Sus scrofa: one gene and its partners. Each later gene encodes a partner of the first gene's protein in a complex. Links are inferred from orthologs where the notes say so. Each region holds a gene or a part of one and is shown in the gene's direction. Other genes may lie near its edges.

The links.
Region 2: PRPF4 (region 1) and SNRPD1 share a complex: the UniProt entries of both Homo sapiens proteins name them as parts of the U4/U6-U5 tri-snRNP complex. The link is inferred for Sus scrofa from reciprocal best matches to the Homo sapiens genes PRPF4 and SNRPD1.
Region 3: PRPF4 (region 1) and LSM2 share a complex: the UniProt entries of both Homo sapiens proteins name them as parts of the precatalytic spliceosome. The link is inferred for Sus scrofa from reciprocal best matches to the Homo sapiens genes PRPF4 and LSM2.
Region 4: PRPF4 (region 1) and PRPF6 share a complex: the UniProt entries of both Homo sapiens proteins name them as parts of the U4/U6-U5 tri-snRNP complex. The link is inferred for Sus scrofa from reciprocal best matches to the Homo sapiens genes PRPF4 and PRPF6.
Region 5: PRPF4 (region 1) and PRPF31 share a complex: the UniProt entries of both Homo sapiens proteins name them as parts of the U4/U6-U5 tri-snRNP complex. The link is inferred for Sus scrofa from reciprocal best matches to the Homo sapiens genes PRPF4 and PRPF31.
Region 6: PRPF4 (region 1) and SNRPD3 share a complex: the UniProt entries of both Homo sapiens proteins name them as parts of the U4/U6-U5 tri-snRNP complex. The link is inferred for Sus scrofa from reciprocal best matches to the Homo sapiens genes PRPF4 and SNRPD3.
Region 7: PRPF4 (region 1) and TXNL4A share a complex: the UniProt entries of both Homo sapiens proteins name them as parts of the precatalytic spliceosome. The link is inferred for Sus scrofa from reciprocal best matches to the Homo sapiens genes PRPF4 and TXNL4A.

The regions. Positions count from the first base shown.
Region 1 is NC_010443.5:253,912,758-253,916,257, forward strand, and holds part of PRPF4 (U4/U6 small nuclear ribonucleoprotein Prp4), read left to right. Parts: intron 1-751; coding exon 752-839; intron 840-1,258; coding exon 1,259-1,338; intron 1,339-1,511; coding exon 1,512-1,605; intron 1,606-2,445; coding exon 2,446-2,540; intron 2,541-3,500. UniProt on the Homo sapiens protein: Plays a role in pre-mRNA splicing as component of the U4/U6-U5 tri-snRNP complex that is involved in spliceosome assembly, and as component of the precatalytic spliceosome (spliceosome B complex).
Region 2 is NC_010448.4:106,804,701-106,808,200, forward strand, and holds part of SNRPD1 (small nuclear ribonucleoprotein Sm D1), read left to right. Parts: intron 1-2,878; coding exon 2,879-3,070; intron 3,071-3,500. UniProt on the Homo sapiens protein: Plays a role in pre-mRNA splicing as a core component of the spliceosomal U1, U2, U4 and U5 small nuclear ribonucleoproteins (snRNPs), the building blocks of the spliceosome.
Region 3 is NC_010449.5:23,905,724-23,909,889, reverse strand, and holds the start of LSM2 (U6 snRNA-associated Sm-like protein LSm2), read left to right. Parts: upstream 1-1,366; 5' UTR 1,367-1,592; coding exon 1,593-1,595; intron 1,596-2,204; coding exon 2,205-2,272; intron 2,273-4,166. UniProt on the Homo sapiens protein: Plays a role in pre-mRNA splicing as component of the U4/U6-U5 tri-snRNP complex that is involved in spliceosome assembly, and as component of the precatalytic spliceosome (spliceosome B complex).
Region 4 is NC_010459.5:62,850,009-62,853,508, forward strand, and holds part of PRPF6 (pre-mRNA-processing factor 6), read left to right. Parts: intron 1-1,042; coding exon 1,043-1,162; intron 1,163-1,399; coding exon 1,400-1,576; intron 1,577-1,869; coding exon 1,870-2,003; intron 2,004-2,579; coding exon 2,580-2,671; intron 2,672-3,500. UniProt on the Homo sapiens protein: Involved in pre-mRNA splicing as component of the U4/U6-U5 tri-snRNP complex, one of the building blocks of the spliceosome.
Region 5 is NC_010448.4:55,998,048-56,001,507, reverse strand, and holds part of PRPF31 (U4/U6 small nuclear ribonucleoprotein Prp31), read left to right. Parts: intron 1-894; coding exon 895-1,052; intron 1,053-2,297; coding exon 2,298-2,387; intron 2,388-3,460. UniProt on the Homo sapiens protein: Involved in pre-mRNA splicing as component of the spliceosome. Required for the assembly of the U4/U5/U6 tri-snRNP complex, one of the building blocks of the spliceosome.
Region 6 is NC_010456.5:49,584,118-49,588,286, forward strand, and holds the start of SNRPD3 (small nuclear ribonucleoprotein Sm D3), read left to right. Parts: upstream 1-1,369; 5' UTR 1,370-1,767; intron 1,768-1,800; exon of another isoform or gene 1,801-1,929; intron 1,930-2,756; exon of another isoform or gene 2,757-2,811; intron 2,812-3,436; 5' UTR 3,437-3,454; coding exon 3,455-3,580; intron 3,581-4,169. Other genes in the region: protein GUCD1, read right to left, coding at 728-770. UniProt on the Homo sapiens protein: Plays a role in pre-mRNA splicing as a core component of the spliceosomal U1, U2, U4 and U5 small nuclear ribonucleoproteins (snRNPs), the building blocks of the spliceosome.
Region 7 is NC_010448.4:127,977,889-127,981,112, reverse strand, and holds part of TXNL4A (thioredoxin-like protein 4A), read left to right. Parts: intron 1-340; coding exon 341-444; intron 445-3,224. UniProt on the Homo sapiens protein: Plays a role in pre-mRNA splicing as component of the U5 snRNP and U4/U6-U5 tri-snRNP complexes that are involved in spliceosome assembly, and as component of the precatalytic spliceosome (spliceosome B complex).

The DNA.
Region 1 (3,500 bases):
GCCTAGGCTGTTTACTCCTTCTATGATTCCCCTTAGCAGCCTGGGCTTACCACTATCATAACACTTAATGTAATGTACTATGGTTCCCCAGTACTTTCTGTATATCCTGTATCCTGTCCACCCTCACCTCCACCCCCGCCATGCTACTTGAAATCAAGAACTGTTTCCTAGTCTTTTTTTTTTTTCTTGGCTTTTTAGGGCTGCACCCACGACATATGGAAGTTCCCAGGCTAGGGGTCAAACCAGAGCTGCAGCTGCTGGCCTGCACCACAGCCACAGCAACTCAGATTCCACGCTGCATCTGCGACCTACACCACAGCTCACGGCAACGCCAGATCCTTAATCCACTGAGCAAGGCCAGGGATCAAACCCGTGTTCTCATGGATACTAGTCGGATTCATTACTGCTGAGCCATGATGGGAACTTCCGCTCAGTCATTTTTTATACTCAGCACCTGAGTCAGTATCCAGCACATTGTGGCGTTGAGTGATTCACAGCCCAAGTGGTAGCAGTGGTGGGGCTGGCTGACAACTAAGTTGAACAGGGTGATTGCTTTTAGTTCAATTTAGGGACTCTGCAAATCAAGACCTCTGAGTGGAAGAAATCACACAGGAAGTTCAGGCATCACCACGTGACTCCTAAAGAAGGTGGCCTGGGTTTGAATGGTGAGAGAGTAGGGCTGACTTGTCCTCTTCTTAGAGAGACTTTTCACAATCTCACCTCTATTTAAATCTGATCTTTTTGGTAACAGGTTAAGAAACATCCTCTCAGTGGTCGGTACTGATGCCTTAAAAAAGACCAAAAAAGATGATGAGAAATCCAAGAAGTCCAAAGAAGAGGTAAATATGTCTTCGACTTCATAGTATAAACATGCAGTGAACAAGGGGGTAGTGCTCTCGTCTTCTGCTTTCGGTGGTTTACTTTGCTAGATTAGGGGACGGGGAGTCGAAGACTCTACTGCTCAGAAAGAGTTGTTGGCAGTAGTTTGTGGTTCCTGTGTAAGTCTAAATGGAGGTAAGTCAGTTTCCCATTCAAGACAGAACCATAGCATTCTTGGTGTCGCTTTTAATAAGGAACCAGAAACCATCCAATGAGAGTTCATAGAAAGAAACACAGGAGAAGGCACATGTACCTGATTTCGTCCTATTCCTGAACCAATTCACCTTTTTTCTGGGCAATTATAATAGGAAATTGACAGCAATAAAAGGGGTAGGCATTGCTTGAGACTTGACATTTCTACTCTTAATTTAACTTTCAGTATCAGCAAACCTGGTACCATGAAGGACCAAACAGCCTGAAGGTTGCTAGACTGTGGATTGCTAATTATTCACTGCCCAGGTAAGGAGAGCCTTGAGAGGGAGGAAAGAGCATACTTTTTCTTACTTCCTCTCAAAGACTGAGAATCTGCTTTATAATTACTGTGGTTGTTCATTAAAGTTGAGTGGTAGAGAGACTTGTGTGGACCCTTGTTTCCAACCCCTTTGCTCAGGGTGATAATGCTTCTGTCACAGGGCAATGAAACGCTTGGAAGAGGCCCGTCTTCATAAAGAGATTCCTGAGACAACTAGAACCTCCCAGATGCAAGAGCTGCACAAGTCTCTCCGGGTGAGATGCTCTCAGCGATTGTCCAATGTCTTGAAGATTCTTAAATATTTATTAGATGTTCTACTTTGGCCTGTCTCTAGCAAGTGAAGCCAGCTATGCTTATCCTTCTCTGCTTACACTGTTGCTGTTTGCAAGAAGCTATCAGTTAAGGTGGCAGGAAGCTAGTGTCCTTTGTACTCTGCAGAGTCCTGTGCTTCTACTCTTCAGTTCTCCGTTTTAATACATTAGACTGTACTTTAGATCTTGCCATGGCTTTCCTGTTTTTTGGGGGGGTTTGGTTTTTGGGGTGGTTTTTTTTTTTTTGTCATTTTAGGGCTGCACCTGTGGCACATGGAGGTTCCCAGGCTAGAGGTCTAATTGGAGCTACAGCTGCTGGCCTATGCCACAGCCACGGCAATGCCAGATTCGAGCCGAGCCTGCAAGTCTGCACCACAGCTCATGGCAAGTCGGATCCCTAACCCACTGAGCAAGGCCAGGGATTGAACCTGCAACCTCATGGTTCCTGGTCGGATTCGTTTCCACTGTACCACGATGGGAACTTCGGCTTTCCTGTTTATATTTAGCTGACAGAAGCTAGTGATACTAAGACTGTAGAAGACAGCTGGATGGAGTTTCCATTCATTCATTGATACAAATGTCTCCTACCAAAAAAGGGTGGAGTAATCTACGAGTGGGTTTGAATTGGAAAGGTGTTGGGAGGGTTTTTTTGTTGGGGGTGGAGGCACAATGGGGAGGGTTGGGGTGTGTGTATGTGTATGTGTGTGATTTTTTTTTTACTGGTGGAAAATCCAAGAAGGTCTGAGATTAGCCTGATAATGATCCTTTGTTTGTCTTTTTAAGTCTTTGAATAATTTCTGCAGTCAAATTGGGGATGATCGGCCTATTTCCTACTGTCACTTTAGTCCCAATTCCAAAATGCTGGCCACAGCTTGTTGGTAAGTCCCATTTTACAGTGCCATTTTTTTTCTAAGTGGGGTTCGGGGAAAAAAATCAGCATTGGTCTTACAAAGCCATTTCTATACCATTTGCCTCTGCTTCTCATGGCCACACCACGCTCGAGAGGTCAGTGCTCATTCATTGTATTTTACAGCAGAGCCTTCAATTAGCAGTTCTTAGTGTTCCCAAGGGACCCCAGAGATCCCTGACATGTCTGTCGTGTCTTGGTACTTGCATCATTTTGGAGCAGGTATATAAGTGAGCTTATAGACTGGCTACTCTGCCCATCTCGATACAGCTTTTCTTTTTTAGTTGTGTGACTTCATCTCTGTAATTCAGTTTCCTTATTGGTAAAGGTGAGATCATGTTTGTAAAGCATTTTGCCGTGATAGTGCCTAGTAGGTGGTAAGGACTCAGTAAACACGGATTATTATTTTTATCTTCATTTTGTTTTCCATTTGCCACTACATGTGCAGAAAACTCTTAGAGAGTGATAACTTTGTTGTTTTGTTTTATTTAGTTATTTAGTTAGTTCTTCTTGTGGGAGGGGAAACGTCTTTTATATTATACACACAGGAGCTCCTTGACTAGGCAGAAATTGAGACTGTGGTTCAGGAGAAAGCCGAGGACCTACACAATTCCCTCCACCCCTCCACGCCTCAGTTACCTTCATTATAAAGTAGAAATGATCATTGTCATAGGTCTGTCATAAGGATCATTTGAGGTGATAGATATGAAAATAATGTATTGGAAATTTTCCATAATAAAGCCTTTTTTTTTTTTTTTTTTTGCTTTTTAGGGCTAAACCTATGGCATATGGAGGTTGCCAGGCTAGGGGTCCAGTCAGAGCTACAGTTGCCAACACCACAGCCACAGCAACGCAGGATCTGAGCTGCATCTGTGACCTACACCACAGCTCAGGGCAACACCGGATCCTTAACCCACTGAGCGAGGCCAGG
Region 2 (3,500 bases), on another chromosome or scaffold:
GCATCTTCGACCTACACCACAGCTCATGGCAACGCCAGATCCTTAACCCACTGAGTGAGGCTAGGGATTGTACCTGCAACCTCATGGTTCCTAGTCAGATTCATTTCCTCTGCAGCATAACGGGAACTTCTAGTTTTCTATTTAAAGCCACTGTGAATCTTCATTTACAGCTTTAAGTAATTCTTTAACATGTAGATTCAGCATCTGAGTAAAGAAGAGATATACATAGTATTAAACTGATACGTGTGGGTTTCCTAGAACTTTGCAACACCAGGTGCCATGAAAGGAAATCAGTCTAGTGTAAGATTTTCATACATTCTGATCAAATTTGGGGGAATGTAATTTCTGTCCTGTTAAAATTCCATAATGCTGTCTTTTGAGCTCTCTGCTATACAGCATGAGAGAAGCAGTGTTCTTCCTGCTTTTTAGGAAAATCTAGTGATGGGAAAAGGCACAAAAACAATGCAATGCAAAGTTTGCCTTACATACGGTAAAAACTTAATAAATCATGTCCCAGGAAGAAAATTTCACTAAATTGGGGAGCAAAGCCTAGTAAAAATCCAATTCCCTTCCCCACTGTCAACTTCAGTTACAAATTTCTGTATTCTATATGAATGTGTATTTTAGTCCTCCTAATAGGGGTAATCATACTGTCTACCATAGGAACATGGAGGATGAAACTAAAATGCATTAGTGTGCAGTTCCTGGAACCCAGAAAGAGGCTCATAAATCTTATTGTTTTCCCTCTCCTTATTGTATCAAGTACCCCCAATGAGGTGGACTTTATCAAAAGTATATTAATTTGGGAGTTCCCATAGTGGCTCAGCAGAAACAAATCTGACTGATACCCATGAGGATGCAGGATCAGTCCCTGGCCTTGCTCAGTGGGTTAAGGATCCGGCATTGCTGTGGTGTAGGTTGCAGATCTGGCTCTAATCCCATGTGGCTGTGGCTGTAGTTGGCCTACAGCTCTGATTTGACCCCTAGTTTGGGAACCTCCATATGCCACAGGTGCTGCCCTAAAAAGACCAAAAAGAAAAGGTATATTAATTAGGGGAATAAAAATTAAAGGAGTCTCCACTGTGGCACAGTGGGTTAAGAACCCAGGTCCAGTGGTTTGAGTCACTACAGAGGCACAGGTTTGATCCTCAGCCTGGCACGGGATCTGGTGTTGCTGTGGGTGCCTCACCCATGGCATATGGAGGCTCCCAGGCTAGGGGTTGAATCGGAGCTGTAGCCACTGGCCTACACCACAGCCACAGCAGCACTGGATCCTTAACCCACTGAGCAAAGCCAGGGATTGAACTTGTGTCCTCCTGAATACTAGTCAGATACGTTTCTGCTGAGTCACAACCAGAACTCCGAGGGTGTGGCCATTTTTAAAAAAGTATATCCATTTTGGGAAAGAAGAGGACAGAGGATTTGTAGTAGTAAGTTCAGTAAATTTGAGGTGGATGTTGGGAGGGTTCATATTTTCTGGCCTTTCTAGGGACAGAAATTAATTAGATCTTTAGTTATCCCATTTATTGAAACATGCTGATAAAGGCTCCAATAATCAAGTATTCCTACTCTAATGCCATATATTCATCCTAGAAAACAATTGCTTTCATTTTGTAAAATCTCATACTAAAAATAATGGCTTAAAGGGAAAAACTGTTTGAGGCAGACCACTCAAAACGTGTGCTACTTAGTAATCAAAGTATTAAAACAATAGCATCCTTTGTGGGTTTTTGGGGTTTCTTTTTTGTCTTTTTTTGCCTTTTCTAGGGCCACACAGCATATGGAGGTTCCCAGGCTAGGGGTCTAATTGGAGCTGTAGCCACCAGCCTACGCCACAGCCACAGCAGCTCAGGATCCGATCCACATCTGCGACATACACCACAGCTCACGGCACCGCCAGATTCTTAACCCACTGAGTGAGGCCAGGGATCAAACCCACAATCTCTTGGTTCCTAGTCGTGTTTGTTAACCACTGAACCACAATGGGAACTCTGAATCCTTTATTTTAAAGCACAGTTTAAAAGACACAAGACATGTCACTTTCCTGCTAATAAGGACAGATAGCACAGTACTTAATAGGGTGTTTTTTTTTCCTTTTTAGGGCCAAACCTGAGGCATATGGAAGTTTCCAGGCTAGGGGTCTAATCAGAGCTACAGCTGAGAGCCACAGCCACAGCAATGCCAGACCCCAGTTGCATTTGTGAACTGCGGCACAGCTCACAACAACACCAGATCCTTAACCCACTGAGTGGGGCCAGAGATTGAACTCAAATCCTCACGGATACTAGTCAGGTTTGTTTCCGCTGAGCCACAGCGGGAACTCCCTAGGGCTGTCTTAAACAGAAATGAAGACAGCTTGGTGGAATGGGGTGTAAGGAAGTTAAGGAGACAGAGAACCACACAGTAAGCATTGCCTATGCTGATATGGGAGGAGGATACATAGGGATTGTCAGAATAAGGCATGTGTACCGGTCTGGGTTTCTTCATGGCTAGCTGTAAGCACACATAAGTGCAAAACAACAAGTTAGGGAAAATCTAGTGAAGGAAAGATTTCTGATTTATACTGTCATCATTACCAGTTGTACTCAATTGTACTAATTGTACTATTATTGTATCATAGAAACTTGCGCTGTAGCAGAACCAGTACTCTTCTGTAACAGGCTACTGATTGAAGCTTGATAGTGTATTTTTTTGGCCAAGGCTCCAGCATGCGGAAGTTCCTGGGCCAGGGATTGAACCTGAGCTGCACTTGCAGCCTACACTGCAGCTGTGGCACCACTGGATCCTTAACCTGCTATACCACAAGGGAAATTCCTTTGGCTTGGTAGATTAAGTGATTGCCTTCATTATACTAATAATTGCCCTTTTTTCTCTCTAGGTGTAGATGTCAGCATGAATACACATCTTAAAGCTGTGAAAATGACCCTGAAGAACAGAGAACCAGTACAGCTGGAAACACTGAGTATTCGAGGCAATAACATTCGATATTTTATTCTGCCGGACAGTTTACCTCTGGATACACTACTTGTGGATGTTGAACCGAAGGTGAAATCTAAGAAGAGGGAAGCTGGTAAGTTTAAAGGATTACGAACATTTTTGTATATGGTGTGTTTGTACCCTAATACACTATTCACAAAACATGTTTATATTTGCAGACAACACAGGTTGTTTGGTTGGTTTTAATTGCCTGTACTTGCTGAAAGTACCTATAGTGTTTTATAGTTCCTGGTGTTGCTATTCCTTTTTTTTTTTTTTTTTTTTAGTTTTTGTCTTTTTAGGGCCGCACTCGCGACATATGGAGGTTCCCAGGCTAGGGGTCTAATTGGAGCTACAGCTGCCGGCCTACTCCACAGCCACAGCAACACCAGATCCGAGCCTCATCTGAGACCTACACCATAGCTCATGGCAATGCCAGATCCTTAACCTGCTGAGCAAGGCCAGAGAATCGAACCGGCAACCTCATGGTTCCTAGTTGGATTTGTTTCTACTGCGCCACAATG
Region 3 (4,166 bases), on another chromosome or scaffold:
AATAGTTATTAGTAGAGTTACAATAGTTACTGCTTATATTCAGGGATAGACTGATTTAGGTGCTTAGGGTTCAGAGGTACAAACTTCTGCTTGATGTCCTGGTGTTACTTATCAGTGGGGTCTGTCACTCACAGGGTCCCTTATTACATCCTTTACATGCTGAAAATATTTCTACAACAAACTCCTAACAAATGGGTAGTGAGGTTTTTTGTTTTGTTTTGTTTTGTTTGTTTGTTTGTTTGTTTGTTTTGCTTTTTAGGGCTGCACCTGTGGCATATGAAAATTCCCAGGCTAGGGGTCCAAGCAGAGCTGTAGCTGCCAGCCTAGGCCACAGCCACAGCCACAAGGGATCTGAGCCACCCTCTGCATCCTACACCACAGCTCATGGCAATACCGGATCCCTGACTCAGAGTGAGGCATTGAACCTGCATCCTCATGGATAATAGGTTAATTTACACTGTGCCACAATGGGAACTCCCAGATGGATGCTTTTTTGCAAGATTAGAAACAGAGAATTTAGGAGTTCCCATCGTGGCACAGCAGAAACAAATCCGACTAGGAACCATAAGGTTGTGGGTTCAATCCTTGGCCTCGCTCAGTGGGTTGAGAATCCATTATTGCCATGAGATGAGTTGTAGTGTAGGTCGTAGACGCGGCTAGGATCCTGTGTTGCTGTGGCTCTGTCCTAGGCCGGCAGCTATAGCTCCATTGGACCCCTAGCCGGGGAACCTCCATATGCTGTGGGTGCGGCCCTAAAAAGACCAAAAAAGAAAAAGGAGAAAATGGAGAATTTATTTGGATCTCATTCCTTGAAAAAAAAATTTCACCTTTTGCGTCATCGCATACTGATAATGCTTTGGGGACATGAGTATAGAAATACATGTAACTGTGAATTTGTGTCCCTTTGTGTTTGAGAGGGCAATGTTTGGAAGTGAAATATCAGAATGGGTATTTCTATCCCTGAGTCAGTCGGTTTTGCTTTACTCAGCCCCTTACAGGAAAGCCCTAGGCAAAAGCGTAAAAGAAATGTGGACTGAGGTTGGGTTCTCAGGAGAAATAAGTTTATCGGGAACCTTTGACAAAATCGGATTTGTGTGCAGGTTCCTGATCTTGGGAACTCAAACATTTTTACTTTTATCAAAGTGTAAGAGACATAGAAAAGTGTACAAATCATCATGGGTTTTCACAAACGCCCAGTTTGCAATAGTAAGTGTCTTCAGGGTATGAGCAAATCATGCTGGAACCACACTATTTTTAAAAGGAAGAAAACTTGAAAGCCGGGGGAGCCGTCAGAGCCCGAGCCTGCGCAGTGGGAGCCGGCCGCTTGGGGAGGAAGTCGGAAGGCGGGAAGCCCCGCCCCTTCCCTGGCTTTCGCGTCCCCTCGGTCCTACCCCGCCCGCTCTGCTTGTAGCCGGAGCGCACGGTCCGCTCTCCTCCGTCACCCTGAGCTTTCCGCGGCGCTTCCCGCCGCCCCTGCGCAACCCCGCCCCGCCTCGCGCGCGGCCTTGTGCTCCGGTTCCCGCCCGGCCTCCGGACCGCGGTACCCGGCCCTCGCCTTCCCGGTCAGGCGGGCATCCCGCGGTGCAAGCACAATGGTAGGTACCGTGATGTCACAAGGGGGCGCCCTCGGGGAGCGCGACCGTTGGGATGGTTGGGGACGGAGACGGGGTCGCGGGGCGGCGGCGGGGCGGGGGGGCCCTCCGGGAGCTTTGTTCCTTTGGGCTGACGTTGGGCCCTGGGATTTTTCTCTCCCTCCTTACTTCCTGCAAATCAGGTTCGTTGGGGAGAGACCTCAAAACGAATGGGTCTTATTTGTTTGAGTCGGCGGGAACAGCAGGAGAGGGAAAAGCTAGACCTCAAGGAGCACTTCCCTGACAGACCAGGCCCCGAGAGGGTGCGGGTGTTACACTTGGTACCCTTCACTGGGTAGTGGGGGCAGGACGCCGGGAGAGGTGGTCCACTGAGAGCCGAGCCCGAGGCGTGCGGGCCAGAGCCTCTCTCCCGGGCTTTAGGTCAGGCGCTCGAGGTAGTAATCACCGGGGCTCCAGCCGTTTTTCCGAGTATTCTTTCCTCTTAAGTTTTGAGAACTGCCAGAGAGATGCGGCGGGGATCCCCAGGACCAGTATCTCATAATACTGGCCGGGGAACACGCCTCTGCCCAAGTCCCTTCCCATATGATGTTTTTTCCCCCTCTCGCCCAATAGCTCTTCTATTCCTTTTTCAAGTCCCTTGTGGGCAAGGATGTGGTCGTGGAACTCAAGAATGACCTGAGGTAGGTACCTGTTCCGACAAGTCTGTAGGGGGTGGATGTGCCCAGCCCTCCGGAACAACCTCTTTAATTTGACAAGTATTTGAGGGCTGGGCAAGATGGGAGAGAGACAAACGAAAGAAATGACTTGTGCCTTAAACTGACAGATTAGCTGCAGAGTTTTATCTTTATGGGAAGAAGATCCAAAGAAAAATGTAAGTACTAGAAAGAAGTCAGGGGGCAGAGGCATCAATCACTTTTTTTTAATAAAAGTTTTTTCTGATGAAATCACATGGTCCTTTGACCCAAATTCTAGAAATGTAAGTATTGACTCCAGAAGTAAAGATTTATGTACAAAAATTTTGGTAGTTTTTTTTTTGTTTGTTTGTTTTAATAGTCAAAAATTGGTGGAGGGGAGCCATTAATAGGGAATGGGTTATGGAGTACCCTTGTGGTGCAGCAGGTTGAGGATGTGGCGTTGTCATTGCTGTGGCACGGGTTCCATCCCTGGCCTGGGACTTTTCACATGCCACAGGCACAGCCAAAAAAATAAAATAAAATAGGGAATGGGGAGTTCCCGTCGTGGAGCAGTGGTTAACGAATCTGACTAAGAACCATGAGGTTGCGGGTTTGGTCCTTGCCCTTGCTCAGTGGGTTAACGATCCGGCGTTGCCGTGAGCTGTGGTGTAGGTTGCAGACGTGGCTCGGATCCCGAGTTGCTGTGGCTCTGGTGTAGGCCAGTGGCTACAACTCCAATTGGACCCCTAGCCTGGGAACCTCCATATGCTGCGGGAGCAGCCCAAAGAAATAGCAAAAAAAGACCAAAAAAAAAAAAAAATAGGGAATGGGTTAGATTTTGGTATTTCCATTAAAGGCAGCTGCCACATGGAAATGAGTTGTATTAATATGGAAAGCTGTTGCAGAATCATCTATGTGGTATAATTGCCCTTTTGTTGTAGACAGTATAAAAGATAAACAGATGACCAGTGCAGTCCCTTGTGTCTGTACTGTTTTTACATCCCTCGTCCCCTTGTATCATTAACTTCAAATCATCTTTTAGGACGTGGATTAAATGCTGTATCCTTGCACTTTCCTGGTTCTTCTAGGCCATAGACACTTCTATCATATAGAGTCTTTCCTTTCTAGTGGGTGCTTCTCAAACTGTGATTTCATAGAAATGTATTTACTGTTTAGGGCTGGTCTTCTATAGGGCCAAGATGTGTTTAAGCGCCCACTGTGTACCTGTGTCTAGCACAGCCCTGGTATAGAGTAGGTGCCTAATGTGTTCTGAAGGGGAAAACAAAAGCTAACATTTGAGGCTCTCCTATAGACTAAGCACTACTCTGAATACTCATTTATTAACTCATTTAATTCTCTGAACACCTCTACATGACATATACTGTTGTTGCTGTTTTACATGAGGAAACTGAAGCTTGACTAGGTTAGGAAACTTGGTTAAGTCTATACAACTAGTAAAGGACAAAGCCAGAACTTAAATCCCTTTCTGCCTGCCCCTCATCCTTTTTTGTTGTTGTTGTTTAATTAAGAACAGGGTCATACTCTGTGCAATTGTAAAACTTGCTTTTTCACCTGACACTATGTTGTGGATATCTTCCATCTCAATAAAGTTGATCTTTAACGTTCTTAATGTCTGAAAGGTGCTTTTTTTTTTTTGAAATGGCTGCACCTGTGACAAATGGAAGTTCCCAGGCTAGGGATTCAATCTGAGCTAGATCCTTTAATCTCCTGTACCAAGCTGAAGATCAGACTCACACCTCTGTAAGGACCCTAGCCGATGTAGTCGGATTTTTTTGTGGGTTTTTTTTGTTTTGTTTTGTTTTGTTTTCTTGGTTTAGGGACACATGTGCAGCATATGGAAGTTCCCAGGCTAGGGGTCAAATTGGAGCTGCAGCTGCTG
Region 4 (3,500 bases), on another chromosome or scaffold:
GTGACCACGGGCTCACTCTTCCAGAACACAGCACGGGGAGGCGGGCGGGGTGGAGCAGCAGCTGGGGCACACTTCCCACGGGAGGGCATAGGGACCACCACTCTCCCGCGTGACGTTCGATTGCCCAGCGCCTGCAGGAGGAAGGCCTGTGCCCCATGCCCGGAGCACAGGGCGTGTGCCTCGGGGTCGCACGGGGGCCTCCTGCTGCTGCCAGGCCCGTGGGCGGGTGGAGTTGCGTTCAGACTGCTGCAGCCGGCCAGGCTTGTTGGACGTTTTTTTTTTAAGGGCTTGATTTTTGTCGTCACGTGTGATATCCTAATACTTTATGACAACACAGTATCAGGCAGCGGTTTGCAACACAGGTTTTTACAAACCGTAGCGTGCTGTGCACATGTCGATGTGTCGTCACCCAGGCTAACGTGGTAAAGTTGGCGTGTCCCTGAGTGAACGCTGAGGGAAGGGACTGGCCTGGACGGCACCTCCTGCCCTCAGCTGCCTGTTGAGGGCGCTCAGTGCTGCAGGTGCTCAGCTGCCTGTCTCCCGCCAGGCGCTCTCCTCTCCTCACCTGTCCCTGTGGGGCTGCTGGGCAGGCCTGTGGCCCGGCCAGGCCGAGTGTGGCCAGCAGGTGGCTGTGTTTGCTGGAGGCTGAGGGCACCGCCCACGTGTCTGCGGGACTGGGTTGCACATGGCTGGGTCCCAACCCTGGGGGCCTCCACGCCATGCCAAAGCCCCAGGCGTCCTGGCGTCCGGCCCGCGTCCTCACACCAGGGGTGTGGGGTGGATCGCAGGCGGGTTGCAAGCGGGGGTGGGTCCTGGGGGAGATGGCCCTGCCGGCAGCCACGGAGGCTGCGTCTGTCCCCGTGGGCACGCGGCCTCGTTTGTGGGCAGGTCGGCGTTTGGGGGCCGGGCGCTGCCTGGTGGACCCTCTGGCTTGGATCAGAGGGTCCTGCTGCAGAGTGAGGCCTGGTCCGGCCCCCAGGCTGGCTGCTTTCGCTGCAGAGTCCCCCTGCTCCCTTTGCGACACTGCTGTGCTTGCCCCCAGGCCAACCCCAACAGCGAGGAGATCTGGCTGGCGGCCGTGAAGCTGGAATCCGAGAACAACGAGTATGAGCGGGCCCGCCGGCTGCTGGCCAAGGCGCGGAGCAGCGCGCCCACAGCCCGGGTGAGCAGAGCTGCCCCACCGCCCGCTTCGGGGGCGGGAGGGGGGACGGAGGCCGCAGGCACGCGAAGCTGGCTCGGCGCGCTCAGCTTTGCAGTGCAGTCGTGTGTGTGGCCCGGCCCGTTCCAAGGGGCAGGAGCCCGCTTACAGCAGCGCGTGCGTGCGGCCGGGTGGACAGCTCGCGGGGTGAGCCGTGGGCGGGCACGCCCGGGGAGGTGCTGCCTGACGCCGTCCCCCCAGGTGTTCATGAAGTCTGTGAAGCTGGAGTGGGTGCTGGGGAACCTGGCGGCCGCCCAGGAGCTGTGCGAGGAGGCGCTGAAGCACTACGAGGACTTCCCCAAGCTCTGGATGATGAAGGGGCAGATCGAGGAGCAGGAGGAGCTCATGGAGAAGGCGCGGGAAGCCTACAACCAGGGGGTGAGCCTCGGGCCGGCTGCCGACAGAGCGCCTCCCCTCGGGGGCGGGGGCGGCGGCCCTTGCGGAGCCCCAGCTGGAGGAGGGGTGGGCTCAGGCCCTGCACACGCGGCTGTGCTGCGCCAGCCGAGTGGCGGGCTGCGGCCCACGTCACGCCCAGGCTGCAGAGTCCACACCCGCGTGCGCGGGCGCCCCCCGGGGCCTGAAGTGGCTGGCTCTCTGGGCACAGGCAGCCCTGATCCCGGCCCCTTCAGACACCAGCTGAGCCCTGTCCCGCTGGTGTCTGTTGGCCGCAGTTGAAGAAATGTCCCCACTCCACACCCCTGTGGCTTTTGCTCTCCCGGCTGGAGGAGAAGATCGGGCAGCTGACCCGAGCCCGGGCCATCTTGGAGAAGTCCCGCTTGAAGAACCCGAAGAACCCCGGCCTGTGGTGAGCGTCCCGTGCCCCTCAGCAAGCTGCCCGAGGCCTCGGTGCTGCGTGTCCCGCTCAGGCCTCGCGGGGCAGTGGCGGGCGCTCGCCTGTGGAGTCCTGGCCCTGCCTCAGGCGGGCTCAGCCGGGCCCGGAGAGAGCGGACGCGGTGCAGCGTGTGCCCTGGGGCGGGGGGGCGTCGGGGGCGGATGACGCCGGGAACGGGCTCCTCGGAAGAGGCGACTCTGCCTTGAGGGAGGACAGGAGGCTGCCCGTGAGGGTGGCCCTCTGTCCCTGGGAACGTGTGCGCAGGGGCCGAGGCGGGCCTCGGTGACAGCACACCAGTGTGTCCTCCCCGCTTGTTCGTTCTTGCACCTCGGTGGGGGTGCCAGGTCCCCACCTCCAGGGCAGCTGCCACTGAGCTTGGTCGTGGGGACCCCAGCGTCTCCCTTCCCTGGTGGACGAGCCCCACTTGGCAGAGCGGGGAAGCGCAGCTGCTGTGGCTTCCCGGGAGCTTCCAGAACTGCGTCTGGGCTTGTGGTCGGGCTGCTGCTGCTTGACCCCCCCCCCCGCTGCCGCCGCCGGCTTCTCTCTCAGGCTGGAGTCCGTGAGGCTGGAGTACCGTGCGGGCCTGAAGAACATCGCCAGCACGCTGATGGCCAAGGCGCTGCAGGAGTGCCCCAGCTCCGGTGAGCTCCTGGGGTGCGGGCTGCAGGGGCCGCAGGCGGTGTCTGTGCTCTGCGTCCGTCTTTGCGTCAGAAGTTTCCGTAAACTCGGTCTTTGAGGTGATTGAACGAAAGTCTCAGTGTGGGGAGTTTGGCCTCATGTTCCACCACCGTTTCTTTGCCGTTTAGGATTTAATGTTCACTATTTTATCACAGATAGGTTAATGCACATGCAGTATATAAACTGATTTGGAGCAAAAAAGGCGACACAGAAATCACCTGTAAGCCTAGTACTCGGCGCTTCCTGCTCTTAGCTTGTTCGTGTTTTTACAAAGTCAATCATACTGTGTGTTTAGTTTTGTGCCTTTCTTTTTTTTTTTTTTTTTAATCTTTTTGATTTTTCTAGGGCCGCACCTACAGCATATGGAGGTTCCCAGACTAAGGGTCTAATCGGAGCTACAGCTGGCGGCCTGCACCACAGTCACAGCAACGCCAGATCCGAGCCGCGTCTGCAACCTACACCACAGCTCATGGCAACGCCGGATCCTTCACCCACTGAGCAAGGCCAGGGATCAAACCCACAACCTCATCGTTCCTAGTCGGATTCTTTAACCATTGCTCCACAATGGGAACTCCTAGATTTGTTCCTTTTTTTATTTTTCATTTATTTATTTATTTTTTTCATCTTTTTGCCTTTTCTTGGGCCACTCCCGTGGCATGTGGAGTTTCCCAGGCTAGGGATCGAATCAGAGCTGTAGCCACCGGCCTACGCCACAGCCACAGCAACGCCAGATCTGAGCCGCATCTGTGACCTACACCACAGCTCACGGCAACACCGGCTCCTTAACCCACT
Region 5 (3,460 bases), on another chromosome or scaffold:
GGGTGTGCCAGCTTCCTGTTGCTGCTGTAACAGACGACCACAGACCAAGAGGCTTAAACAGTGCAGTTTACCACCCGACCGTTGTGGAGGTCACACGTCCACCAGGGGCCTCACCGGGCTAAAATGAAGGGGTGGGGAAGGAGGGCTGGTCCTGGGGTGGGGGGCGGGGAGGGAGGAAGCCGCGTTCCCTGCCGTTTCCAGCGTCCAGAGGCGCCTGCCCTCCTTGGGGGGGGGGGGGCTCCTCCATCCTGGCCATCCCTTCTGACTCCGCCCTTCTCTCCTGCCGTCGAGGACCCTGCGGTGACACTGAGCCGCCCAGGTCCTGCAGGACAGTCTCCCCTTCTCAGGGCCCTGCCGAGTCCCCTTGGCTGTATTCAGGCACAACTTCTGGGGCTTGCGATGTCAGTGACCGTGGGGCGCTGTTCTGCTCCCGCACAGGCGTTGGAGGCTTGTTTCGAGGATTCACGTGTTGGATGAGACAGTGGGCCACATCCTCAGAAACCCCCAGCACAGGGCCCCGCCCACAGTGGTCCCCATCAGAGGGAGAACGTGTTACCCACCGCTCCTCTTCCCATCCCCCACGCCTGCAGACGCTCCAGGGGACCTAGATGCCGTGCCACACTGGGCCGTGTGGGCACGTGCTCCCGGTGTGGTGAAAACCGCTCTCAAGCACAGAGCGGGGGGGGGGAGGCCCCCCGCAGCTTTGCAGGCTCTGGGGTCAGGTTCCTGTTGGGCCAGTTGCTTCACTTCTCTAAGCCACCTCTGAATGCCCCCTGGAGTGGGACACCTGGCCCTCCCTGGCGGGGCCGCCTAGGCTCCAACACAGTGACCCCCGCACGTGCACACACACCCCCCCGCCCCCGCCTGCCTTCTGACTCCCGCCCTCCTGCGCAGGTGTGGCCGGCGGCCTGACCAACCTCTCCAAGATGCCCGCCTGCAACATCATGCTGCTCGGCGCCCAGCGCAAGACGCTGTCCGGCTTCTCGTCCACCTCGGTGCTGCCACACACCGGCTACATCTACCACAGCGACATCGTGCAGTCCCTGCCCCCGGTGAGCCCCCAGCCCCACCGCACCTGCCATGCCCCACAGGGCAGCTCCCCAGGGCCCGCGGCTCCCCTGTGACCCCGGTGCATGGAACCCTAGAGGATGCCCCACATGGGTTAAGGATGCCACAGCTGATGCGCCAGTTTGGGATGCTGGCCGCGCCACTTCGCAGCTGGGCCAGAGGCCTGAGTGCTGAGCCTTGGCCTCCCTGTCTGGAAGCTGGGGGAGTGAACCTGCTTCAGGGGCCGCGACGTGGACTCAGTCATACGAGAAACACTCTGAGGGCAGGCCTCACACATCAAAAGTGATGGAAGCGTGAGATCGGGGTTCCCAAGGCCATGGTCAGGTTCAGTGACCCCCAGAAGGGCTTGCAGAGCTCACCTCGAGCTGATCCAGGTTCATCACGTCGTGGGAACCCAGACGAACACCAGCCAGGGAGAAGCGTGAGGGCAGGGTCTGGAAGCACCAAACAGGCACCACATGAGACAGGACACAGTCGCCACCAGGACGCCCAGCGGGGCCTCAGGCCTCCGTCTCTACCTGGCTCAGGCAGAGATGGGGTTGCCTGGTGAGAGACCCCACCCTGAAACACAGGGCTGCACGCTAGCTTAGCCAGGGCCCCCACCAGGACGCCCAGGAGCCAGGGCCAAGGCCAGGCCTCTTCGGGCAGGGTTCAGTTCTCCGCTGCGCTGGCTAACTGGGTTCAGTTCTCCTATCGTTGCTAACTGGGACTTGGGGGCTCATGTATCATCTTGGTATTTCTCAGAGCTCCAGCCCCTGCCTTTCAGGTACACTGATGGATTTTTTAAAAATATTTTAAAATACATTTTGGCTGCTCCTGCAGCATGCTGAAGTTCCTGGGCCAGGGATCAAACCCATGCCACAGCAGCTGCCCCAGGATTCTTAACCCACTGCACCACAGCGGCTACACTGGGTCCTGAACCCACTGCACCACAAGGCAACTCTTATTTGATTTTATTCATTTATTTATTTTAATTGTAACATGTTTTCTCAGTATTTCATCGTCTTGCCTCTGTGTTAATGCATCTCTGTTGTCTGGGGAGATGGGAAGGTGGGTGAGAGGAGACACCGACCGCAACATTTTGCTATTGTTACACGTTATTCCAGTAACGACAGCAGTGAAGACAAAAGCTGGTGTGGGAAACGGAGCCCATGGCGGCAGGAGTTCTGGAAACGGCTGTGATCTGATTGTATCTTCACGCTGACTCTGCCTCTCTGTCGTTGCTCCAGGATCTCCGGCGGAAAGCGGCCCGGCTGGTGGCCGCCAAGTGCACGCTGGCAGCGCGCGTGGACAGTTTCCACGAGAGTACGGAGGGGAAGGTGAGGGGCAGCCGGCATCTGTCTGCATGTCTGCGGTCTGGTGGGGGTGGGGGGAGCTGTGATCAGAGGACCCCCACCCCCACCCCGTCTGCGCTGTCCTGACGGTGGAGGTGGGAGTGTTTGTGCCCCCCCACCCCCAGGTCCACTTCCCCTGCCCCTGCTGTACCAGTTTCCCGTCACTGCTCAGCCTAGTGGCCTAAAGCGTTGCAGGGCTACTGACTTAAAGTTCCCTGGGTCCGGAGCCCGTGGTGGTTCACTGGGCCGAGGTCACGGTGTCGGCAGAATTGTGTCCTCGGAGGGTCGCTCCGCCGCCTTTTCCAGCTTCCACAGGCCACCTGCGCCCCTCGGCTCGTGGCACTTGCCTCCCTCTCCGAAGCCAGTGCGGCACCTTCCCGCCTCTGCCTGACTCTGCATCTGTCTTCACGCCTCCGACTCCTTTGAGGTCCCAGGGATTACACTGGGCCCCTGGGATCCCCCAGGATCGGACCATCTAGGGCACCTCCCCATTTCAGGATCCTTAACTTAATCACATGGCCGCTCATAAAATCAAATAAGAGTTCCCTTGTGGTGCAGTGGGTTAAGGATCCTGGGGTGGCTGCTGTGGCTGGGGTTTGATCCCTGGCCCGGGCGAGGTGACGGTTCATAAGGACCAGAGAGTGGCTCACAGACACCTTTGGGGGTGGGGGAGGCTTGCTTGGCCTACGACATGGGGGTCCGTGCCCTCCACCAGCACTGTCACCCTTCAGTACCCATTCCAGCAACCTCGCCTCCTTGGCACACTTGTTCTGCGAGGGTAGGTGTTTCTGTCTTGTGCACCTTCGTCTCCCAGGCTCCCGGCCTGGCACAGCGTTGAGGGATCTGGTCTCGCTCTCTCTGACCCCCGGTCTGGATGCCGGGGTCCAGCAGTGCACCCGCAGACAGAAGCCCTGCCCCGCGACGTTTCCATTCCCGTTGGAGGCGGGGCAAGGAGACGCAGGCCGATCTGCTGTGTGTCCAGTGGTGCTGAGCAGAGGCTGGGGAGGTTGGACTGACTAACCACATGTCAGGGAGGGCTTCTCCAAGGAGGTGAGGGT
Region 6 (4,169 bases), on another chromosome or scaffold:
CCCCGGGTAACTCCAGACCCTACTCCTTGCTGCAGTCACAGTCAGTATCCTGCTGATTCCTTAGGGTCAGGCTCCCACATGCTCTTGACTTCTCCCAGGAGCTGGGACCTCACTTTAGAGTTTACCAGCACTTCCTTTCTCACCAACCCTGTGCCTTAACCAGAGCAGGAATTACTGCTCTCTCCCTCCCCAATTTAGCAAAGCAAACCGAGGTTCACACACAACCTGAGTTTTGGTTTCTGCCTGCAAGGGAACACAGGCCACCTGGGACATAAGGAACTAGAGTGAAGAACTCTAGCAAGACAAAACACTGAGTCTGGGAGGCCGGGGGGGGGGGCCTCCCCCATTGCTCTATGCTCCCTGCCAGTTCCCTGCCCTTCTAGGCCTCAGTTCCCCGAGGGGACAGGATCTCTCACGGCAGCTTCAGCAGGACTTTTCGCTTCTGGGGAAGCTGCCGCCCCAGCCTCTCAACCAGGACCCTCCCACCAAGACCGCCATCAGAGCTGCCTGGGGTTCCAGCCCTGGGAGTATCAGGAAACCCCAGCAGACCGCGGTTGGCGCTGCGGGAGCCAAGGCGGGGTGTACACCTGGCCAGACTTCACTCAAAGCTCTACAGCCTAGGACATGGCGGCCGTCGGTCCAAGGTCACGCGGCCGGACCCTGACCGCTGCTAGGGTGGGCCCCCCTGTTCCCCTGGATGAGGGCTAAGCCCTCAGGGAGCACTGACCGGGCTCGAGCGGCGGCCCCGATGCCTCCCCCTCCGTCCTCATGACGTGGGCGGCGCGGGGCTCCCATGGCCCCGGCCCGGCGCCGGCTGCAGCTTCGGCCTCGTCTGGGGCGGGAGCGGGGCCGCTAGTCCCCGGGTTCCTGGGCCGCCACCGCCACTGCCAGCACGGTGGGGAGAAGGGGAGGCGGCAGCTGGGCCGCCCCAAGCCCCGCCCCGGCCCTTCCAGGCCTTGGCCCGCCCCGTCCGCCCTGGGCCCCGCCCCGGCCCGCCCCCGCCTCCTCTGGCCCTCAAGCCCTCAGGCTCCCAGGCTCCTGTCTCCGCTGGTCCCGGCCGCTCAAAGTGTCAGCTCCCAGGGTTGCCGCCCCGACCTCCGAGGCCTGGCGCGGACGCGCAGCCCTTCCCGCCCCGCTCCCCGGAAGCCCCGCCCAGGCCCGGGAGTTCCACGAACGCGGGCTCCCCAGAGCCCCCGGCAAGCTCCGCCTCTGCCAGGTCCTACTCCTCCGCCAGCCTCGGGGCCGGGAGACCCAGCCCCACCTCGACTCTCTTTGGAGGGACGGCCGAGGGCCGGCACCCGCTCTGCTCCTGTCTCCCTCTCCGCTCAGGGGTCCCTTTACCTGGCACTGCCGGGTTCCGAAGGTTAAATTGTGAGGGGAGGTCCTGGCCCTCGGCCCCACCGCTGCCTCCCCCGATCCCCGCCTCGCCGTCCAGCCCGTCGCCGGTGTGAGGTGTTTGGAAAAGCGAGTCCCTCTCTGCCCTTGCCGGCCCGAGGGTCGGTGTTTCCGGCGGCACCTGGGTCCAGTCATCAGTCTTCCGGGGCCGGAACTCTTGAACCACAGACCGAGTTTCCCAGCCGGTGGGGTGAGGTGGAAGCGAGGACGAGACCGCGCTCACCACTGGGAAAAGGAAGAGGGCGGGCCCTGCGCGAGGCATTTTGGGAACGCGTGGTATTCTGGGAGCGCGGGACCCGCCATTCGCTTGTCTCACGCTTCGCAGTCGGCAGAGTCGCGGCCGCACCGGGAAGGAGGAGGAGACCTCAGGCGGTGAGGGGAGGCTGGGGGCGGGCGTGGGGAGGCCGAGGCACTCGGAGGAGTAGAGGGTTGGAGAAGGACGCGCTGCCGAGGAGCTCCGCGGGGCTCGCCGAGGGACAGGAGCGGGAAGCCGGGCCACCAGACAGTGTCGCCTCACTAGCGCTTGGAAGTGAGGTCGTTAGCTTTTCCTTCAGTTTCCATACCTCCCCAGGCCAGTGTTTTTCGAAGCATCCAGGCAATGGTCTTGAGGTCGTTTCTGGCTAGTTGCTTCCTTCCCAAGTCCTTTGCTTCCCTGCCTCCATCCGCCCCCTCATGCTTTCTACACCGTTACACAAGCTTCTTTCAAGTTTCCCTGCATCTAAGCTGTGTTCGAACCATTTTGTAAGTGCTGCTGCCTTTCCCAGGGATAATTCCTTCCCTATAGTCCTGCCGTGGTTCTCCCATTGCGTTCAGCATAAAATCTACACTTCTGAGGCTTCTCACGAAGGGCGCCTGTCTCTTTCACTGCTCTTCCTTTTTCTCTTTATGCAGGAGATGTATTCCACCTTTCAGCTGACCATTTTGGAATTTAAAAACCGACAGCTTTCCTCTTTTAAGGTCAAGTCAGGCTTGCCTTGATTCCCTTTTTTCTCCAAGATAAGCATTTCCTGTGTGTAGCACATTATCACTTTGTGAATACTTTGATATTTTCTCTTTAACTTTGATGGTGAAGTAAATGGAGAGTCAAAGAGCACTTACTGGGTTGAATTAAATGCATGGACTCTTCTTGATTTTAATTTTCGTTCTTTTTTTTTTTTTTTTTTTTTTGCCACCCTGAGGTATATGGCGTTCCCTGGCCACGGATCAGATCCAAGCCATGGTTTCCACCTTCCTCGAAGCTGCAGCAACCCACTATGGTGGGCCAAGGATCGAACCAGTGTCCCAGGGCTCCAGAAATGCCTCAGACCACATTGCGCCACAGCTGGAGCTCCTTATTTCATTTTAATTTTATTCAATTTCAGAACTTGCAGTGGTTACTGTTTTGGACAGCTCAGGTCTACGTCCTACGTTCTCAAGGTGATGTTACCCACTGCTTTGGGTTAACAAGTACACCTGCCTTCCAACCCCCTCTGCTGCAACATAGTTATTTGATAAAGATAAAGGGACCTGTGGTAGCAGGGAGATGAGAGGCAGTCTTTTCATTCCTGTTAGCTTTCCCTCTGTCTAGCCCCCCTGTTCCTCCCCACCCAATCTTGCATCTTGTTTGCTAGATATGTTCTTCAAGCTGGGGTTAAGCTACTTTTTCAAGTTCCTTTGGGAGTTCCCTTCCTGGCTCAGTGGTTAACGAACTTGACTAGGATCCATGAGAATGTGGGTTTGCCCCCTGGCCTTGCTCAGTGGGTTAAGGGTCTGGCATTGCTGTGAGCTGTGTAATCGCAGATGTGCCTCAGATCCTGTGTTGCTGTGGCTGTGGCATAACCCAGCAGCTGTAGCCTCTATTCAACCCCTAGCCTGGGAACTTCCATATGCTGGGGGCGCAGCCCTAAAAAGCAAAAAAAATAAAGTTAAAAAAAAAAACACGCCTTTGGCATTTTTGCTGAGTGTTACAGAGTGTCCAGCCTTGAGTGAGGCTTGTGCCACATGCCTCTCAGGCCCTGAACCATGAACTCTTATCTCTCTCTCTCTCTCTCTCTCTCTGTAGAATTCTCTTCCTGCCGAGATGTCTATTGGTGTGCCGATTAAAGTCCTACATGAGGCTGAGGGGCACATTGTGACCTGTGAGACGAACACGGGAGAGGTGTACCGAGGGAAGCTCATTGAAGCCGAGGACAACATGAACTGCCAGGTATCCTGCTTTGCACATGAGCCTATTGGGGGGAGCTTGAGCCTGTGTCTTGGAGGACAGAAAGCTGGTGATTGAGGGTCTTTTTGAAGTTCTCATTCAGCAGTTACTGAGAGCTTAGTGAATGCCAGGCACTGTTCCAGATACCAGGGATGTGGGCATAGGTAAGAGCCATTTGGAATATTTAATTTTGTCCTTTGTTTCCCAACCCCATAAACCGTTTTCTCCCATATCTCGGGGCCTGTTTAAGAGAAGTAGCACAATGTTCAGTAGAACCATTAGGTTCAGGGTCGCTAGTAACTCATCCCTACTTGTTTGCCCATTGCTTTGCAGTTTGCATACCATGTGGTTTGGATACCATATGTAAATCTTCCACTTATATATGGTAGTTATTTGCCATTCTTCTTGGGGGAGGTATCTTCTTTGATTGCATTTATAGCAGCTACCCTGTGAGGTAAGAAGGTTTTGATGATAGCTTTGTCATCCATAAAATGGGAAAGATAAGATTAAAGGACTTAATTACTGTACTTACTTGCTAATAAATATTGAAGCCATTTCTTGACGTGGTGCCCTTCTGATGGCAGTACTTTGA
Region 7 (3,224 bases), on another chromosome or scaffold:
GCCGCTCCCGCGGCATATGGAGGTTCCCAGGCTAGGGGTTGAATCGGAGCTGTAGCCACCGGCCTACGCCAGAGCCACAGCAACGCGGGATCTGAGCCACGTCTGCAACCTACACCACAGCTCACGGCAACGCCGGATCGTTAACCCACTGAGCAAGGGCAGGGACCGAACCCGCATCCTCATGGTTCCTAGTCGGATTCGTTAACCACTGCGCCACGACGGGAACTCCCTATACACAAATTCTTTTTGTTTTTGTTTTTAAATGTGCTTTTATGGAATAAAAAATGATTTGTCATTTTACATTTTGTTTTTTTTTCTCCCCAACCTCTTTTCCTTTTAGGTTAAAAATTTTGCAGTTATTTATCTTGTGGATATCACAGAAGTACCTGACTTCAACAAAATGTATGAATTATATGATCCGTGTACTGTCATGTTTTTCTTCAGGTATGTTCTCTTAAAGTTGTTATTTAAATTGAATAGATGGTCTGGAAGTTTAATGTAATCAAGATATCTTTAGATTCTTTTCTTTAGGAGGAGGTCAGTTATGCACTCATATCATAATATGGTTTGTGTCACCAGGCAATCAGTGTGATCTTTTAAATAATTTTCAAAGTAGCAATTACAGATTTAGCATTTACAGTAACACATTACCCTTTTGAAATAACTGCCCAGAAAACTAAATGAAGTGTAATTAAGTGGAAGATGTTCTTATTGACATTTCAGATACCTTTAAGTATAATATGTTGATGAAAAAATGTTTAAAATAACTGACTTTTTAAATATGATATCAATGACTTTATTTAGTGTCCTTTTGTGATAGCCAGAAGGAAAACCTTTACTTAATTACTTTGCTTAGAAATACAAGATTATTTTATCAGCTGAAAAATTCTGTTGCTGGAGTTCCTTTTGTGGCCCAGTAGTAATGAACCCAACTGCAAGTTCAGTCCGTGGCCCAACTCATTGGGGTAAACATCTGGCGTTGCCATGAGCTGTGGTATAGGTCACGGACGTGACTTGGATCTGGCACTGCTTGTGGCTGCGGCATAGGCCAGTAGCTGTAGCTCCAGTTCTATCCCTGACCTCACTGTAGCTCCAGTTCTGTCCCTGGCCTGGGAACTTCCATGTGCTGTGGGTGCAGCCCTAAAAACAAAACAAGACAAAAACTCTTTTGTGGACTTTAATCAGTCAGTTACTGACTCAAGGAATAGAATTTCCCTAATCGCCTTAAATTAATTTGTATCCATGATTTACAAACTTTGCATGAAAGGAGAACATAGAGTGGCTACTGGTTAGGTACATGGGTGTCCAATGCAGATGCAAATACGTTTGATTGGGGTTTATAAAGTTAAGTAGCATCACAAGTGAAAAAAAATTCTCTTGTGGACATTTAATTTGGAAAGAATCACCATTTCACAGTTTTTACTTGTCAAAATTTCTTACTGTTGGAGTACCCATTGTGGCTTAGCAGAAATGAATCTGACTAGTTTACATGAGGATGCGGGTTCAATCCCTGGCCTCACTCAGTGGGTCAGGGATCTGGCATTGCCGTGAGCTGTAGTGTAGGTCACAGATGCAGCTGGAATCCTGCGTTGCTATGGCTATGGTGGTGTACGCCAGCAACTGTAGCTCCAATTCGATCCCTAGCCTGGGAACTTCCATATGTCTAGGGGGTGGCCCTAAAAAGAAAAAAAATTCTTAGTTTATTGTTACTACAAAAGTTAGTAAATAGCAACATAAACATTAGGCCATACTCCAGAGGTAGAGCTTCACAATTAGAGAAGTTCTGGGTAGAGTATATAGGGTGTAGATTAGCTTTCTGTTCTGTTTGACAGTGTGCCCAAACTTGGTGGCTGAAAACAACACCATTTATGAGCCCAAGGTCTGTAGGTCACAGTCCAGGCAGGCTCACTGGGTTCTGTCTTGGGGTCTCAAGGCCATAGTCACAGGCTGGGCTTTTAGCCAGGCAGTCAGTCAGGGGGGAATCTACTTGGCTCTTGGGGACTATTGGCTGAATCCAGTTTCCAGTTCTGGGTGGACATGGGAATGAGGTGTCTTTCCACCTGGGCCCCTCTGTGCTCCTAGAGGCCCCTCCAGCTTTGAAGCCCTCAACCAAGAGTTGAGTCATTTTTACACAGTTGCTCTAACTTCCTGTTCTGCTTTCAGAGGGCACACTTGATGGATTAGACTGTATAATTCTGGGGCATCTCCTTATTTTAAAGTCAACTGGTGGGTACTTGTAGGGATACCTGCAGAATTCCCTTTGAAGTGCAGTGTAACTGATCGGAGGCATGATGTCATCTCATAGTCCTGAGGATTAGAGCAGGAAATAGCAGAGGTTATTTTAGGATTCTGCCTACTGCAGTCTGCCCTTTGGCTCACAAAGATTCAGATCCCTCTCGTATGCAAAACTGAGTGTGGATGAGGCTTCTCTGGGTGACCCATTAAGCCCAGCTCCTGGACACTCTTTCTCTGTGGCCCCTCCCCAGGATACAGTGTGGGACAGGCATAGGGAACAGTCTGGGTTCACCAGGAGCAGGGCTTTGATGCAGGGCTAGGATCATCCTCTTGGTCCAATGCCTGCCCTCGGGAGGGTTCTCCCCAGCCTTTTCTGCCTTTTTCATGAATGGCATTTCAGCTGGCTTATTTTTCAGCCTGCTTCCTGCCAGCAGCATGAAGTTGTAGTGCTTCCCCTCGGCCTGAGCAGGTAGAGTCTGTCCTGGGTGCCAGAGCTTGCTGGTTGCTTCCTGGGAGAAGATCCTGTCCTTTGAACATTCTGACCTTTAGGTCTTTTCCAGGTTTCAGTAGGTTATGTGGCTTCTGTGTCAAGAGTTCAGCACCCATTTCTGGATTTCAGCATCTTTTGCTATTTGGAGAGGCTGAGAATTTGTTGTTGTTGTTGTTGACAGTTTTTACAACCAGTTTCTCTCTTCTTTTACTATAAGGCCTAGGAAACCAGGCAGTGCCTTCAAGACTTTACTTCTGTGTTCTCAGCTCTTATCCACATGCATCGCTTACAAGTGTCACAGACATTCTGCCACTGTGTAGCAAAGATCCCTTTCCTCCACTCCCTGGAACATGTCCCTAACTCCTTGCAAGTCCATATTTCTACTAACAGGCTATTTAAGGCAATCCAGGCCTTTTCTGTTATGCTTCTCAAAGTTCTCCAAAAGTCCTCCAGGTGGGAATATGGGTGCCGCCTTAGATCCTGCTTCTCACTGCATGTG